3 linked regions of the Cricetulus griseus genome follow. The protein of the gene in region 1 interacts with the protein of each later gene in a pairwise test. Links are inferred from orthologs where the notes say so. Each region holds a gene or a part of one and is shown in the gene's direction. Other genes may lie near its edges.

Region 1 (4,668 bases):
CTTCGTATGTAGTATTTTTCATTTACTTTTGTATTCCTACACACACAATGTTATTACTACGTTTAAAGTTGTGCACAAAATACATATCAACATATCAGTTATTATTGAAATTAGAACCCTGCTTTCTAGATGGTTAACGTCAGTGATAAACTGGCAGATTATTTTCATAAACCCATTCTTGCCTTTAAACATCTAGATCAGAAAATCTTTCCGTGGGAAAGAGGCAGGCAGATGAACTTGGAACCTCCTCTCATCTTTCATATAAATATTCTCCTTTGGGAGTTTTTTACTACTTTTTGCTGTTGCCACCACACAAAGGCAAAGGTTAGAAATAACTAAAGGAAAACAATTACATACCACCAAATAAAATGGCCTTACACAGTTTCCTGCAAGGTCTTCTATAGAAATGCTTGCCTGCCTTGATATTCTACATCCAAGCCACACACAAATAGGAAAATCCATCCTCAAAGATATTAACAATCTCTATTCAGTGGTGTGCTAAAGCCATTACTTGGAGATAATTGTGTACAAAGCAACAAACATCATTTTGATAACTTAAAATCAGCCATCTAAGCATATTGAGACTAAGGTAAACACTACAAACCAGAGCTTTGGTGGTATTTAGGAGGGAAATATTGTGTGGTTCTATTATTTCTCTGTAGAGCCAGTTAAACATTTACCACAACATCACTGCCTGTATTCTTCATAGTCCAAACTAAGAAAAACCAGGCTTTCCCTAGTGGTGGTGGCAGCAGCACATGCCTTTAATCCCAGCATTTGGGAGGCAGATTCCTGTGAGTTTAAGGCCAGCCTGCTCTACAGAGCTAGTTCTAGGACAGCCAAGGCTACACAAAGTAACCCTGTCTCAAAAAAAAGAAGGAAAGAGAGAGAGAGAGAGAGAGAGAGAGAGAGAGAGAGAGGGAGGGATGAAGGAAGGAAGGAAGGAAGGAAGGAAGGAAGGAAGGAAGGAAGGAAGGAAGGAAGGAAGGCAAACCTGGTTTTGTGTAAAAGAATTCATTCTGTACAATGTCAGAGTTCAAACCTTTGAGTTCCTTTTCATGTCCTAGTATCTCAGCAATATTGATGCCTAAAATGAACATACCCTACTGAGATACATTCTTTCCTTACATTATTCAATTATTCTAGAATAATACTGATACAGCCCAATTAGTCTAACAATGGCATCAGATGTAATAGGAATTCAGAGATATAGAAAAATGGAAACATTTCCTCATTTCTCTTATAGATGCTCTTTTATAAGCTGTTACAAGTTTGTGTTACAGTTCCATTGATTTTTAACTTAAGAGTAATTCACTTGCCCATATTAGAGAATCATCTCACAGAATTTTATGCCAGTCTATTTGCATTTAAAGTTTAAGAGCTAAACTTAACTCGCTGTAATGGAGGGGATTGAACATCTCAAAGGTCAGTCAATTGTTGACTGAATGACTAAATCTCTGGTGAGTGATATCAGTACAATGGAACATAGTGGCCATGTCCCTCCCATTAAAACTGAGCAAAATTACATACGAAATAATAGCAAAGAAGAGAACCCAGATGTGTTGGTTCCATGGGGAAAGTAGCTGTAGAGCACTCCAATTAGTATGGTCTTGTTTAAAAATGAAAAACAAATGTGTCTCATGTAAATGGACTCATACATAGAGAAATTTTGGAAGAATGTATAAATATACACAAATACACATAGAGACACACAACCTACAAAAATGGTTACTTTTTTAAAATCATTTTTTATTTGAATTAGAAACAAGATTGTTTTACATGACAATCCCAGTTCCCTTCTCCCTCCCGTCCTCCCCTAACACCCCCCAACTAAAACCCTACTTATCACATACCCTTTCTTCTATTCTTCCCTTGGCTCAACCTTTCTGCTCCCTCATGACCTCTTCATCCTTCCTCTTCTCCCCTTCTCATTCTCGTAGCTCCCTCCCCCCTCTTCCTGTGCTCTCAATTTGCTCAGGGGATCTTGATCCTTTCCCCTTCTCCAGGGGACCATGTATGTCTCTCTTAGGGTCCTCCTTGTTTACTAGCATCTCTGGCAGTGTGGATTGTAGGCTGGTAATCCTTTACTCTATGTCTAAAATCCACATATGAGTGAGTAGATATCATGTTTGTCTTTTTGTGATTGGGTTACCTTGCTCAGAATGGTTTCTTCTAGTTCCATCCATTTTCCTGCAAATTTCAAGATTCCATTGTTTTTTTTTTTTTTTTTTCTGCTGAGTAGTACTCCATTGTGTAAATGTACCACATTTTCTCTATCCATTCTTCAGTTGAGGGGCATCTAGGCTGCTTCCAGTTTCTGGCTATTACAATAGTGCTGCTATGAACATCATTGAACAGATGTCCTTGTATGAATGTGCTTCTTTTGGGTATATGCCTAAGAGTGGAATTGCTGGATCTTGTGGTAGACTCATTCCAATAATGGTTACTTTTTAAGAACAAGAGCTGGGGAAGTGAAAATGTTTCAACAAGTGATAGATTGAGGAGATTTTAATATGTACTTATCATGTTTGTAACTTTAAAAAGGTACATTAAGGGCCATATATTTTTTCAGTTCTACATTTAGGATCCATGAATTTTGCCATCTGTAAATTATACCTGTTTAAAAAAAGAAGAAACTGTATGTCCCTGTTTAGCCAACTGATAAGCCCAATATTAATAAACTGACTTTCTCTTTGATGTTCCACCTCTTAATGTGTGGTTTTAATTGTCTAAACATTTAGAAATTAGAATTAACATTTTTATCCATCTTATAAAATCACAATTATTTCAAAACAGCACATGTACTGATGTTAACATAGACACAGTAGTACTTCAAGGATTCTTTCTTGCTTCCCCACCCTAAACACAATGCTATTTCTCAGGCAACTTTAAATGGGTGCTGTCTGGGAACAAGAGAAAAGAAGTTGGCAATGATCTTGTATTAAGACATATTAAAGAGTGGCAAGCTGAATGCCTGCTCTTTAGGCATTTGGCCTTTGGTACACACATACACACAATGTGATAATGTATAAAATCCCTCCAGGAAGGAACAGCCCTCAAAATGGTTGCATTTGTAAATCAGTTATATCTATACATTCATTTTTGAGGCATCAAAAAGGCAGCATTCTGGAAAAGTCTCTCACTTTGTCTCCTTTCGATGAAGGAGGAGTCTACTGAGGAAGAAAGGGAAAAGGAGGAGTACGCTGCTCTCAAAATCCAATCAGTCTTCCGGGGACATGTGGCCAGAGAAGAGGTAAAGAAAATGAGGTCAGATAAAAGTGCCCAAGCGAAAGGAGAGGAAGACCAGTGAGGACACTGGCTTTACCCCCCAGGAAACATGAAAAAGTAATCAAATCCATCTGTGTTGCGATTGTCATTTTTTTCTCAGTAAGGAGATATGATGTTGTGGAATAACATTTGTTGCTGTTGTGAAAATCTGTCATGAGCATTTGTTTAATAAACATGCCATTGAAACACACCCCTTGAATTTCCCTGGGAGCAGAGTTGTCACTTCTTGTCCCCAGCCTGTGTCTAAACACCTTAAATTCAGCATCTGAACAGTAGTACCTAGGGCTTCAGAGCTTGGGTTATGTGGTCTGATAGCTGGTGAGTAAAGCTGCTCTACCTGACCCCTGGAATCTAAGCTTCATGTTTCTCTTCTGCTGATAACCTCACCTCCTTTGAAGTATAGTCTGCTTTCTGTTTTTTTCTTAGTGATGGTGGTAGTGAACCCCAGGACCTTGACTGAGCTATATACTAAACCCTAATTTTTTTTAATAGTTTGGGTTGTTATAAAGATAAGTAACGACTAGGCCTTCCCCACTGATGTTCAGGTGTCATAATAAGCAATCGTTCCCTGAAAATGTATTGAACATCTTTCACGGGCTGGACTAGTGGTGACTATTTGGTGCATCAACCACACAGCTTATAGTTTTTGTTTTGCTTGGCTTTGTCTTCTTGAGACAGGGCTTGAGTCTGTAACCCTCCCTGAAAGTCTTTTGCTGATTACTATTTACTCCAACCACTAGACACTGATGGCCCTCTAAACCCAAACACAGGGCTCCTTTTTAATATTCACCTGTGCACGTCATCCAGTCACATGACTGCATGACTTCATAAACCTCTGCACATGATTGCCAGACCTTGCTTCCCTCCAGCTCCAACCTCTTATAGCCAACTGCCTACTTAGCATTCCTATTGGGACGTAAGGTTTCTCAAAACGAACTTGCCAAACAACTCCTGATATTGCCACCTCCAGGCTGTAGTTCTCTTGGTGTTTCCCACCTGAGAAAATAGTGACCTATGTAGTCTGGAGAATGATCCATGATAGCTATACTTTCAGTTTGAATAAGTGAGTTTATTAAGTATATAGTATGCCTAACATAAAAGTAAGTTGGGATGGATGATAGAGGATGGATGGGTAGATAGGCAGCCAGGCAGGCACACAGACAGACAGACAGACAGACAGACAGACAGACAGACAGACAGACAGACAGACCCTGAATGCTTAAAACACTTAGCAGAAATCAACTGGTAAAGCCCCATTGAGGCAGTGAGCTAGAGTTCCTGGTAGATAGAATCCTGGGCAAGAGCAGTGTCCCCTCTGGTGAGGCTTCTAAGTGAAATCACAGATAACAACAGATACAAATGACATTATCAAATTGGACA
Region 2 (6,152 bases), on another chromosome or scaffold:
TATATATAGATAATAAAGAGAAGTCATGCTGGACAACATATCTAGTTAAGAGACAGACAGGCTGGGTTTCAAGAGACCTTGCCTTAAAACAATTTTTTTTTTTTTTTTTTTTTTTTTTTTTTTTTTGGTGATGGAGACTGACCCTAGAACCTGAACCATTGCAGACAATTGCTGTCCTGTCAAGCTCTAACTGCAGCCCCTTTTACGGCTGTTTTTGGAGAGGTAGTCTTGCTATATAACCCAGGCTGTTCTCTAACGTTTGTTCTTCCGCCATCTCCAGACCTGGGGTTACACATAGGCACCACCACACCTGCTTTCTTGAGTTCTCTTTCTGGTTTAAGACTAGGTCTTCATGTGACCCAGACTGGACTAAAACTATATAGTTGCAGCTATCTCTGAGCCTCGAACTCTCCTGGCTCCACCTCTTGAGTGGTAGGATAGTTGGTGTGTGCCACCTGTCTACTTTATCTGATTCTGGACTTTGTGAATGCTAGGGAGACACAAGGGAACTATGTTCCCAGTCCAACATAACCACTCTCCTTAACTCCCAAAATCCCCTGTACTCTACCACAGAGCTAAATTCTCAGTTTCTCGATTCGATTTTTTTTAAGATTTTATTTATTATGTTTACAACATTCTGCTTCCGTGTATATCTGCACACCAGAAGAGGGGACCAGATCTCAAAATGGATGGTTGTGAGCCACCATGTGGTTGCTGGGAATTGAACTCAGGACCTCTAGAAGAGCAGGCGGTGCTCTTATCCTCTGAGCCATCTCTCCAGCCCCATTCTTGACATGTTTGTAGCACTTATATTCCATTCTGTCTCATAAATGTTAACATGTTGCCGGGCGGTGGTGGCGCACGCCTTTAATCCCAGCACTCGGGAGACAGAGGCTGGTAGATCTCTGTTAGTTAGAGACCAGCCTGGTCTACAAGAGCTAGTTCCAGGACAGTCACCAAAGCCACAGAGAAACCCTGTCTCAAAAAAAACAAAAACAAAACAAAACAAAACAGTTAACATGTCTAACTATATGGCAGGAGAAATGGCTCCATGGTTAAGAGCACTGGATCAGGGTTCCGGTTCCGTTCGGTTCCCAATACCCACCCACACAGCAGTGTGCAACTTTCTGAAACTACAGTTCCAAGGGATCCAATGAGGTCTGTGACCTCCTAAGGCATTGGGCATACACATGGTACACACTTACATGCAGGCAAAACATTCACTCATAAAAATATAACCTTGGGTACATGGTGGCACATGCCTTCAATCCCATTTCTTGGGAATGAAAGGAATCAGGCATTTCCTTTCTTTTTCCCTCTCTCTTTCCTGTGGTTCCCCTGGGGCAGATAGAACTTTTCCTGTCTTCCTCTTCTCTTCTGTCCTCTGTTTCTGTGTCTCTTTGCCTCTTTTCTCTTTCCTTCTCCCACCCCCTTCCCTTTCTAACAAAACTAAGCTCTGTCCGCCCCGACATGTTTGTCCCTCTGCCTTGGTCACCCTCGACTGCCATGGAATCCACTCAGGTCCCCCTGGTGCTTTATCATAACTGGGAGGGAGACAGGTGGATCTCTGTGGTGTGAGTTCTAGGCCGGCCTGGTCTAAACAGTGAGTTCCAGGACAGTCAGGGCTATGTAGTGACCCTGTCTCAATAAATAAGAAACAAATAAATCCATAAACCTTAAAAACTTTAACATGCCTAATTATGAGTTATTTTACAGGAGGGCCGAGTGAGAGAAAATGCTTGTCTGAGCCCATATTCTTTATCACCTCCACAGAAAGTGACCCCAGAGAAGTCACACTCCCTTTATCAGTCCCCAGTCTCAGGAGGAGAGAGAGCCTCCAGGAATATTGTTTCCTATATCATGTTATTTCTTTCCTTTCTGTTTTGTGGGACTGGATCTCCTGTAGCACAGGCTGGCTTCAACTTCCTATGGCCAATGACATCTGATTCTTCCTGCCTGCACCTCCTGAGTGCCGGGACCCCAGAGCTTTGTGCTTGGTGAGCAAACACTATACCAAGTGAGCTACACCCCAGCACCGGTACAGACCTTTTTACTCTTCGGGAGCTTTCTCCAGCCAGGAAGAGTGCGTTTCTGGCCACAAAGTTGGCTCGTGCCTCATTGTTCCTACGGTACCACCGGGAGTTCTCTACGCTGGGCTATTTCTGGTCCGCTTGCTTTCACAAGCTTGAGGCACCCCGCCAGAGAGCATTTACTCGGCTGGCTCGGGACGGTGGTCCTGTTCCCTCTCGGCACTCAGGCCTTTGGTAAACGCCAGGGAGAGAGGGCGAACGTCCCGGCTGGGCAGTGGTGTCTGAGAAGGGAAGGGCTGTGCAGCCCTGCGCTGCATTTCAGGGCATCTCTGAACCCCGGGGGGCACCGCAGGGCAAACCCACGCATGGCTCAAATTGTCTGGGACAGGGGACCAGGCTTAAGTGCAAATCTTAACATCTACTTCGGGAACCAGCTTCCTAAGATCAAATGTAAAAATGACAGAAGAAAAAAAGATTCAAAACTTTGCAAGTTACTGCTCCAGGCCACACGATCCCGCGGGCTTGCTTCTCCGCAGCTAACTGCTTGCTGCAGGAAGCGAAAGCGATCGGATCGCAGCTGCAGCCACGCCCCGAGCCCTGCGGGCGTCCCTGGTCCGCAGCCGTGGGGTCATGGGTGGAGAAGAGCAAGCCCTTTCCGTTCCGGAACCCGCGAACACTGCCGAGTCTGAGTCACCAACTGCCACCGCGGGCCGGAAGTCATCGCCACTTCTCACCGAAGGAGAGAGGTTTCCGGTGAGCGCGCACGGACTACAACTCCCGGCATGCTCCGCGGTCGCCCCAGTTAACCCCTCCCGGCCTGGAACAGCCCTTAGTCTCACCCCGCCCCCCTTACCCCCCGGCCCTTCTTCGCACCCGGCAAGGTGAGTTTTGCAGGGTTGGGTGGGCCTTTTCCCTCTGTGGTTTAGGAGTATGAATGAGAGAGACAGGCGTGTTGTCTGCAGAAGGATTTCTTATTTTCCAAAAAATGGGACAATTTGCAGTGAAAAGAACCTGACGCCCTTTTGCAAATAGGAGACACACTATCTCTACCCGAGTCTCAGGGCCTAAGTGGAATGACCAGTTTCTCAGAATGCTATCCAAATCTTCTTTCTCCAAGAATAGAGTTGCCAGAACCTCCTCCCAGCTCCCAAACGCGACCCCTTCCCTTTGCCAGCGCTGGCAGCAAGGTTTGTGACTTAAAGCTGAGCTCAGGTTTTTATCATGGGGCTGATTGCAGTGTGGGTGTGGGAATACCCACCAAACCCAGAGGAGACCCTGTCACCTTTTGGATTAGCGAATCTAGGCTCATTGTTTCCCAGAACCCTCCCTTCACGTGTGTGTGTGTGTGTGTGTGTGTGTGTGTGTGTGTGTGTGTGTGTGTTCGCCCGCGCGTTCCCTCCAAGCTCATTAGGCATCCTAACCTTCTGTCCGATTTGATAACAGTACCTTGTTGAAAAACGTTCTTTCTTTGGAATTGTGTGTGGCACATGTTAAACCCAAACCTGTCGACACCTGCACCCATAAATCAGCACTAGGTGCAGAAGACAGTGGGTAAAGTCACTGTTCGGTTCCTGTGCATATTCCAGGTTGGGGGCAGGTGAGGGCCCAGGGACTACACTTTTAATGTTCATTAAACTATGGGTATGGGCAAAGGGTGTGGAAAGACACCCCCATCACAAACACACCTTTTACTGTTTCCAGACCTTAGTTAAGATTTTCCCACTTCACAATAGGCTCTTCCTAAGCTGGCCAGGTCCCACTCCATCCCCAAGTCCTTCCATTGCTTGGGCTAATGCAGGGTTTTTTTGTTTGTTGAGGTTTTTTCCCCCCCTCTTCTCTTCACTCCTATCTATCTCAGTATCACTGGCAAGCATCCTAGTCTTACCCTGGAGGTTAAATCTGAGAAGTCTCTTGTTTCTTCCCCCTGCCCTTAAAGGAAACAATATTCTTGTCAGCTTTGGGGGAGGAGTGGCAGAGGGAAGAAAACTTTGGGGCAGGAGTCCTGAGCTACAGGAGGCCAGGGGAGTGAAGGCAGACTCACATAACTCTCCTGTCCCTCACCCTTGCCACCGCCAACTGGCTCCCTGCCCCTGCCCCCGCCCCTTGACATCCCAGACTCCCTGCCTATTTAAACAGAGATGGGTGCCCCCACCGGCACACTGTCCTTTGGCCACCTGACATCATGCCTCCCAAGAAGGATGTTCCTGTGAAGAAACCAGCAGGACCCTCCATCTCTAAGCCTGCTGCCAGGTCTACAGCAGGGACCACTCCAGCCAAGACCAAGACTGAGTCAGCTGCCCCCCAGACTCCTGCAAAAACCCAGGAGCCCCCTGTTGATCTCTCCAAAGTGGTGGTAAGTCCCAGCAAAGTGCGAATTTGGAAGCGGGCGGTTCAAGGATGTGATACAGCCTAGCGGATTAGGGAATGTTTGGGAAAAGTAGGGGATGAATGAACACTATGAGTTTGGGGGTTCCCAGGCCAGGCCAGTTTCAAGGTGAAGGGAGAGAGCTGCTGTCTGCCCCTGGCTAGCTAACTCAAAAGGCCACATCTCTGAACCTCAGGAGGGGGGACTGAAGAGGACAGGCTTGTTAGACAATCACAGCTGGGGGCAGGGGTAAATTTAGCCTTTGTTCAGCCCCCAGTTATGTGAGGGATGCAGGGCTCAGGGCAGTGGAGGGAGGGGAACAGGTGGCATGGGATTAACCCTGTTCCCAGGAAACCCTCCCCCTATAATTCCTCTTGGGATTCTCCCAAGGCCCAGAGCTGGGAATGGGACTGAAGTGGCAGGGCCCCTCCCCAGAAGTGGCTGCCAGTAGGTTGGGAGAGCTAGAGAGGGATTGAAAAGACTCTGTCATCTCTCCTTACTTGCTCTCCCCGTACCCCCCTCACAGATCGAGTTTAACAAGGACCAGCTGGAGGGTGAGAAGCCTTTTCCTAAACCCCATTGTCCAATCCCAAACCACTGGTCAGATCCTCTGTTCTCTCAACTACAGTTCTGACCTTGAAACCTCCCACACTTTTGTCCTCTTAACCTCCCTTGCTTCGTCCAGCTGCAGCACACAGTGCTCTGCCCTGCTCTAGCACCTCATTTCCCAACTGAACCTCCTTTATGTCTGAGGTGATGCGAATTCCCTGGTCGACACTGCCTTCTGCTTGCATCTCAGAGTTCAAAGAGGCCTTTGAGCTGTTTGACCGAGTGGGTGATGGCAAGATCCTGTACAGCCAGTGTGGGGACTTGATGAGAGCCCTGGGCCAGAACCCTACCAACGCCGAGGTGCTGAAGGTCCTGGGGAACCCCAAGAGTGATGGTGAGAGGAACCTTGGGATATGTGGGCTTTTCAGTCTTCTTTTTCTTGGTGCTGGAGATTGAATACAGGGCTCTGCCCTGGGACGCTAAGCTCGCCCCCGTTTTTTGTTTTTTTGTTTTTTTTTTTTTTTTTTTTTTTCTAGACAGGGTTTCTCTGTGTAGCCCTGGCTGTCCTGGAACTCATTCTGTAGACCAGGCTGGCCTCGAACTCACAGAGATTCTCCTGCCTCTGCCTCCTGAGCGCTGGGATTAAAGGCGTGCACTATCACCGCCTGGCTTTTTTTTTTTTTTTTTTTTTTTTTTTTTTGGTTTTTTCGAGACAGGGTTTCTCTGTGGCTTTGGAGACTGTCCTGGAACTAGCTCTTGTAGACCAGGCTGGTCTCGAACTCAGAGAGATCCGCCTGCCTCTGCCTCCTGAGTGCTGGGATTAAAGGTGTGAGCCACCAACGCCCAGCTCCGCTTGGCCTTTTCTTCCTTTTTTTTTTTTTTTAATATGGAACACTTCACAAATTCGTGTGTCATCCTTGTGCTGGGATCATGCTAATCTTGGCATTGTTCCCATTTTAGTAGATGTGCTGCTGAAGCACAACTGAGCTCCATTTCCAGCCTGTAACTTTCTTCGCGCCTCCCCACAACAAGGGTCTCAGTATGCTAGCCAAGAATGACCTTAAATTCCGATCCTCTACCTCCTGACTACTTCTGCCTACCACAGAGTGCTGGGATCACTCCAGTTTGTGTGGTGCTGGAGTGGAATCTGGTGCCTGTGGAAGACGGGCAAGCCCTTTATTGCTGAGCCTTGCTCTTTTACTCTCTGA
Region 3 (6,282 bases), on another chromosome or scaffold:
AGGGAAGAGCCTGGTCACTCACAAGCCTGAGGGTCTTACCTGCCCCTCTCTCCCCCAGATCCACTCCTGTTTCCCTTCAGAAAAGAGCAGGCCTCCCAGGGATATCAATCAAACATGGTATAACACATTACAGTAAGACTAGGCATAAACCCTCATATCAGTGCTGGGTGAGGCAACCCAGTAGGAGGAAAAGGGATCCAAGAACAGGTGAAAGAGTCAGAGATACCCCCATCTCCACTGTTAGGAGTTCACAAAAACACCAAGCCAACAACCGTAACATATTGGCAGAGGACCTAGGACAGACCCATGCAGGCTCAGTGATTGCCTCTTCAGTCTCTGTGAGTCCACACAAAACCCTGCATAGTTGATTCTGTGGGCCGTGCTCTCCTGGTGTCCTCAACTACTCTGCCTCCTACAATTCTTTCTCCCTGCCTCTTCCTTGGGGTTCCAGAGCTTGAGGGGAGGGACCTGATTGTGATCTCCAATTTGGGCTTTCTCTGGGCCTAATGATTGGCTGTGGCTCTCTGTATCAGTTCCCATTAGCTGCTTGAGGAGGCCTCTCTGATGACCACTGACTGGGCTAGGCACCAGATCTATGAATATAGCAGACTATCATTAGGAATCTTTTTGTTTGTTTTTTCATTTTTTCTATCCTAGTTCTCAGGGATATCAAAGCCTGGTCATCCAGGCAGTTTTGGTCCTGGGCTTCATTACTTGGTATGGGTCTCAAAGTAGACGTGCCATTGGTTGGCTACTCCCACGAATCTTGTGCCTCAATTGACCCAGCACATCTTGCGGGCAGGATAGATTACAGTCTACAGGTTGAAGGTTTTACAGCTGGGTTGGTGTCCCAATCCTATCACTGGAAGTTTTGTCACAAGACTAAGGATTGCACCACAGATACAGGGTTAGAAATAGAAGCACTGTGCCTTGTTTTTGGTTTTTTAAAGGACATGCAGGACCTGCTTTTCCCAGGTATGTATAGTATTATTTCTTTGGATTATGCTGTTGTTACACAAAGCCTGGGGGGGGGGGGTCCAGACTTTGCAAATTGGCTTCTGGCTTCCTACCCATGTTAATCTTGCTGTTTCAGTCTGCTGTCCTGGCTCTCCAGTCACATTAAAAAAAAAAAAAAAAAAAAAAAAAAAAGTCCTTACTAAGAGAAATGCATCTTCTACTTCCAGACAGAAAAGGGAAGGGCAAAGAATTGTTTCTCTGTCTGTGGCTTCTAAGTTGCTTTTAGCTCCAACTAATCCTTATGCCAAAGTGGCATATTCCCTACCCTGTCCAGCTTAGCTGGTCTTGAACTCCCCATGTAGCCTAGGCTGGCCTTTGAATTCAAGATCCTCCTGCCTCCCTTACTTATTTTTTTTTCTCTGTAATTAGATAATCTGCTCCTATAAAAACACTGTCTTACCCGCACAAAAAGGGCTGGAACCTTAAACATTAAGTAAGGTTGTATCTTTGTATCTCTTTACCAGCTTCTTGGTGCTATGGGTAGAGCAAACAGACAGCTAGAGGTCACAGTAGCCCCCTTTGAGGTTTTCAAGTGTATGGTCTTCATGTCAATTTCTAACTATTGTTTTTTTTTAAGATCGGGTCTCACTATGTAGGTCAAGCTGTTCTGGAACTTGCTATGCAACCCCAAGGTGGCCCCGATCTCCAGCTACACAGTTCTGGAGTGTGGTGACAAAGGCTGTCCCACTAAGACAACTTGTGTCAATTACTGTAGTTATATGGGGGTCTTCTTTGTTTTCCTGCCCATTCTGGGATATATTCATGATAAGTGAAGTGTTCTCAAAGTGGGCTGGATCAGTTTGTTGTTCTTGGTCCAGCACCCTGTTTTCTTGAATTAAAACATGCAACATTTTTAACAAGCATAGTAAAACATACCCTTTAGATACGTAAAAATTGCTTAGTCAGAAAACTCATCTGATAATCAGAACCCACTGGCGTCATTCACTCAAGACAAACAGACGACTACAACACCACACCTCTCACTGGGCAGTATTTAAGCAGAGACCAAGAGCAATGCCCTGCTCTGGACATCTGGAGAGGCAGCACCTTGATCTGCCTTGCAGCTGGAGAGGCTAAGAGACTGGACCTGACCTTCAGCTAAGAGACGACCCACAGGTGAGCAGCCTTGGGGAGACAGGCTTAGGACCTTAGTTAGGAACTTAAAGACTGTGAACTGTGTGATGACCCTCAGCATAATAAAATATAACGTTTGCTATACCAACTATGCATAACTACCTGCTTGCCCCCCCCCATGCCCTCCCAAACAAACCACCAACAATAATACAAAAAACAAACTCAATAACGCCACCATTCGCCCCTAGCTGGGAAAAACTAATAATATTCTGTACCAAGGCAAAAAGTATTCATACCTTACTATTTTTTAAGTTAATTGCTTTCTCTTCTATTTTACTTAGATACTGAGGACCCTGTTCTGCAAAGCTCAGTAGATGATTTCCACTCATCTAGCTATTCCAACTTGTAGCTATTAAACTGCTGTTAAAAATTGCAGACTGCGTCCCAATTTGGCTTTTTTTTTTTTTTTTTTTTTTTTTTGGTAAAGCAGAGTAAATAAAGCATCTCATACCGATGTACAAGACCTTGCTCTTGTACATGTCGCTCTTCCCACATATTTTGCAATCAGAACTGTGTTTTCAAAGCTCCAGGCTAAACCAAACACCCGGATTCTCAAGAGACAGCAGGCCAAGGAATGCTTTCAGCCCGTCCCAATCTCGCCCCTCGAAGCGTGGGACGGGAAGGGCCGCGCCGCAGGAAACAACGGAGGGCGGCCAGAGGTCGGAGCCCAGCGCGGCCCCGGGGACGGCCCCGCCTCCCGAGTCCGGCCCCAATCCGGGTACCCGCGCCCAAGCGGCTCGGCCCCTTCCGGCTCCTCCCGAAGCGGCGAGTGCCGGGGATGCTGCGCCTTGCGGGGCTCCGCGCCTCCGCAGGCCTGGCCGCCGCGGCCAGCGCCCCCGCCACCCCGCGCCCCCCGGGCCTCCGCCTCCTCCTCCGCCCCGCGACCATGGAGCGCCCCGCCGCGGGTGAGAGCGAGCGCACCGCCCTGCGCGCCCAGAGCCGCCCCTGCCTTGGGGCGTGCTCGCCGCCCTGCTCCGCCTCCCAGGCCTCCCGCAGCCCCACGCCCCTCGCGTTCCTTCCCTCCTGCACCCAGACACTGGGCTGTGCCTGCAGTCCGGTGCACCCCCGTGCTCAGGGCACCGTGCTTGCACCCCCGTGCTCGGCACCGTGCTTGCAGCGATGCGTCACGGGTGCACTACTCCACACCGCGGGTGACGACTTGTTTTTTTTACCTCTTCGGATCTCGTGACACATGGCCCAAAGTTTTTGCAACATCCCTCCCTACTGTGTTGGGGCCGTAAAAGAAACCAAGGGGGGGGCAAAAAACCCTCCATTTTATTTTATTTATTTTTTCTAAATGCAAATTGAAACTTCTGAACGCCATTTTGTATCATTTAGGGTTTTATTTGAGGTTTGGAAATGAGCACTTTAAAAGTGGCGCCAATTTGCTGGCGCCCAGAATGAACTTGAGCTTGGGTCGTCTTCTGCTATGTGCTGAACTTGGGTAGGATAATTAGGGGCTGGACTTTGAGGGAAAGGAACTAAAAAGTAATTAGGGGAAAAACAAGTGTTCATTAAGATCGCTATATCCTAAACGTATACAAAGCATAAGAATATTAAAATATGTTGTACAAACATGCTAAGAATGTAAATACTTTATATATAAAGTATGTAAATAGTATAAATGTGTTTATGACTTTCATGTGAATGGAAAGATCCGTATCTTGTGGGGAGATGCCAAAGTGTTTCTGCTTGAGATGATTTTTTTTTTTTTCTTATGACATGCAAGGGTGTGGATAATAGAGCAGACATGGAAGGGGAGAGGACTCCTCCCACCCATTTACAGTGTGGCTTTGCAGTTTAGGATGCTGTTAGCTTATCTTACATGTTTCCCATATAGTAACAAAGCTTAAGGTACTTGTCGAAGTTACTGGGTCCTTACTTTATGTAGTGATCTGTCAATCTCTCCTTAATAATTTATATTGTTCCCTTTCCATGATGAGGAAGGGAAACATGAAGATTAAGTGGCTTGATTGCCTTGAAGTTTAAACATTTCTGGAGACCTGCTACTCTACTGTTTTTAACAGCTAATTGAAGTAGCTAGACCACAATGAACGACAGGCCCTTTTATAGCTGTTTAGCTCAGGGATCAGAAGAGAGCCTTGCTTATACTGGGACTGTATATCACTGTTCAAATATGAAGCCTGTTTTGTATGTCTTAGGCAGTCTGTCTTTATGTTTTCTGTTTGCTTGACTTTGATGATATTATTGGCTGAAGTGGAGCTATGATTTGAATATTTGATTGTAGTTAGATGATATTTTAGAAGGCACTTTAAATATATACATTGACAGTTTTTCTAAAAGTAACATTCAGTTTAAAAACAATTTAGTACAGCAGTTGGAAAGTGTTTAGCATTCAGAAATACATTTTAGCCTTTATTCTTCCTCTTTCTAACTGTAAATCTTGAGAGCATACAGTTTTCCCTCTGCTTTTTAATTAATCTTACGTTTGTCTGTTTTTGTAATGCTGGAGACCAAACCTAGGGATTTGTGCACACTAAGTCTACCAGAGCTACACCCTTGACCATGAATCTTTTTTTTGTTTTTTTATGATTTATTTATTATGTATACAGTGTTATGCTTGCATGTATGCCTGCAAGACAGAAGGAGGGCACCAGATCTCCTTACAGATGGTTGTGAGCCACCATGTGGTTGCTGGGAATTGAACTCAGAACCTCTGGAAGAGCAGCCAGTGCTCTTAACCTCTGAGCCATCTCCCCAGCTCCCATATGTCTATTTGTCTGAGAGTCACCTTTCCCCTGTTGTTACACTCTGTCATATCTGTTGTTGTCAGTCACCAGAGTGAGCATGCAGTGTTTAAATGACCCTCTTTTCTTTTTCTTCCAAGCAAGGTTGTGAGGAGTTGTGTTAAGTGTATATGATAGAAACCCACATTTTTGAAAGAACCTTAGACCATCTTCTTGGTCATGATTTATTGGCACATTGCTTTCTGAAAGATCTGTCTCAGTTTACAGTGCTGCAGTCAATACATTGTAAGGTTTATGGTACAGGGCATACATAGTTGATTCTGAAAATTGTGGGTCATGTACCAGAGTCACTTGATACAGATGGCAGCTCTTGAATCTACTTTGCTCATGGACAAGTGACTAAATTGTCTAGTTGGCGTAATGATAGTCTTCACTGATAACATAGTTGTATGGATTAAGTGATTATTTCCCAGAGTGCTCCTAGTTGAGTGTGCCCAGCATAAAGTACCTACGTGTTGGTTAGTGTTAGTAATGCTAATTTCCAGTTTCAATTCATTTTTGTTATTAGTGTAACATTTACCCCTGTGGTTGTTTGAATTTGTGCAAAAGATAAATTTTGTTTTAATTAACGACAGAACAAATTTTTGGGTGACTAAAATTTTTTGTGCCATGTAGCTCACATGTGCTGGAATTGCAGGTGTGACTCAACATGCATGGCCTAGGTGACTTTAATTTATTTATTTACTTTGTAGAGTTGAATCTCAGCCTGGTACCTGGCAAACAAAGGCTCTTATGGTGGTCTATCCCAAACTTTATTAACTTTTAATTTGAGACAAAAATCTCACTAAGTTACTTATATAGGGTGATTTTGAATGTACAGTCTGGTCTCAGCTCCCCAAATACCTGGGGTTACAGACCCATGTTACCAGGCCCAGCATATCGAAGCATCATAGCAGTCACAACAATGAATTTATGGTTTACATGCTTAAGGATCAACTGGTTGAAAGCAGTTTTTCTGAAGTGAAGTCTTTACACCTTGTGTAAGAGGAAGCATTGTTGTGGTGGATGTATTTAGTTATATCCCTCAGCCTTTGCCCAAATCCTAGCACTTACAACCTAGTTCAAGGCTTCCTGTAAGGGGAAAATAGGCCTTAAAATATACCTAGCCTGCTGAACATCATTGCTTAGCAACACAGTCCACTCTAAGAGTATTGATTCTTTCATGTCAAGATCCTGGGGCCACCTGGAAGCTGGGGCTTACTCCGCATTACGTGGGGGGGGGGGTGATCTCATTTTCCCAGTCTGGGAAGAGAACAACCCCCAAATTTGAATATTTCTATTTAATGTTCACTGCTTTCCTGAATAGCTGTCAGGAAGGAAAGTTGAACAGGTATCAAGATTCTGACCGTATTTCTCAGACTCA

Evidence for each region. The genes of interacting proteins can lie anywhere in the genome.
Region 2: the proteins of Spa17 (region 1) and Myl6b interact in binary tests that used the Homo sapiens proteins (3 or more experiments, as listed by UniProt). The two-hybrid records come from large-scale screens. The link is inferred for Cricetulus griseus from reciprocal best matches to the Homo sapiens genes SPA17 and MYL6B.
Region 3: the proteins of Spa17 (region 1) and Akap7 interact in a two-hybrid assay, tested with the Homo sapiens proteins (3 studies listed by BioGRID and IntAct). The two-hybrid records come from large-scale screens. The link is inferred for Cricetulus griseus from reciprocal best matches to the Homo sapiens genes SPA17 and AKAP7.

What each region holds. Positions count from the first base shown.
Region 1 is NC_048597.1:149,544,435-149,549,102, reverse strand, and holds the end of Spa17 (sperm surface protein Sp17), read left to right. Parts: coding exon 1-4; intron 5-3,163; coding exon 3,164-3,310; 3' UTR 3,311-3,478; downstream 3,479-4,668. UniProt on the Homo sapiens protein: Sperm surface zona pellucida binding protein. Helps to bind spermatozoa to the zona pellucida with high affinity. Might function in binding zona pellucida and carbohydrates.
Region 2 is NW_023276806.1:129,395,535-129,401,686, forward strand, and holds the start of Myl6b (myosin light chain 6B), read left to right. Parts: upstream 1-2,774; 5' UTR 2,775-2,911; intron 2,912-4,166; 5' UTR 4,167-4,212; coding exon 4,213-4,383; intron 4,384-4,921; coding exon 4,922-4,949; intron 4,950-5,194; coding exon 5,195-5,338; intron 5,339-5,824; exon of another isoform or gene 5,825-5,924; intron 5,925-6,152. UniProt on the Homo sapiens protein: Regulatory light chain of myosin. Does not bind calcium.
Region 3 is NC_048595.1:244,453,368-244,459,649, reverse strand, and holds the start of Akap7 (A-kinase anchoring protein 7), read left to right. Parts: upstream 1-2,904; 5' UTR 2,905-2,929; coding exon 2,930-3,056; intron 3,057-3,283; exon of another isoform or gene 3,284-3,302; intron 3,303-3,575; exon of another isoform or gene 3,576-3,595; intron 3,596-6,282. UniProt on the Homo sapiens protein: Probably targets cAMP-dependent protein kinase (PKA) to the cellular membrane or cytoskeletal structures.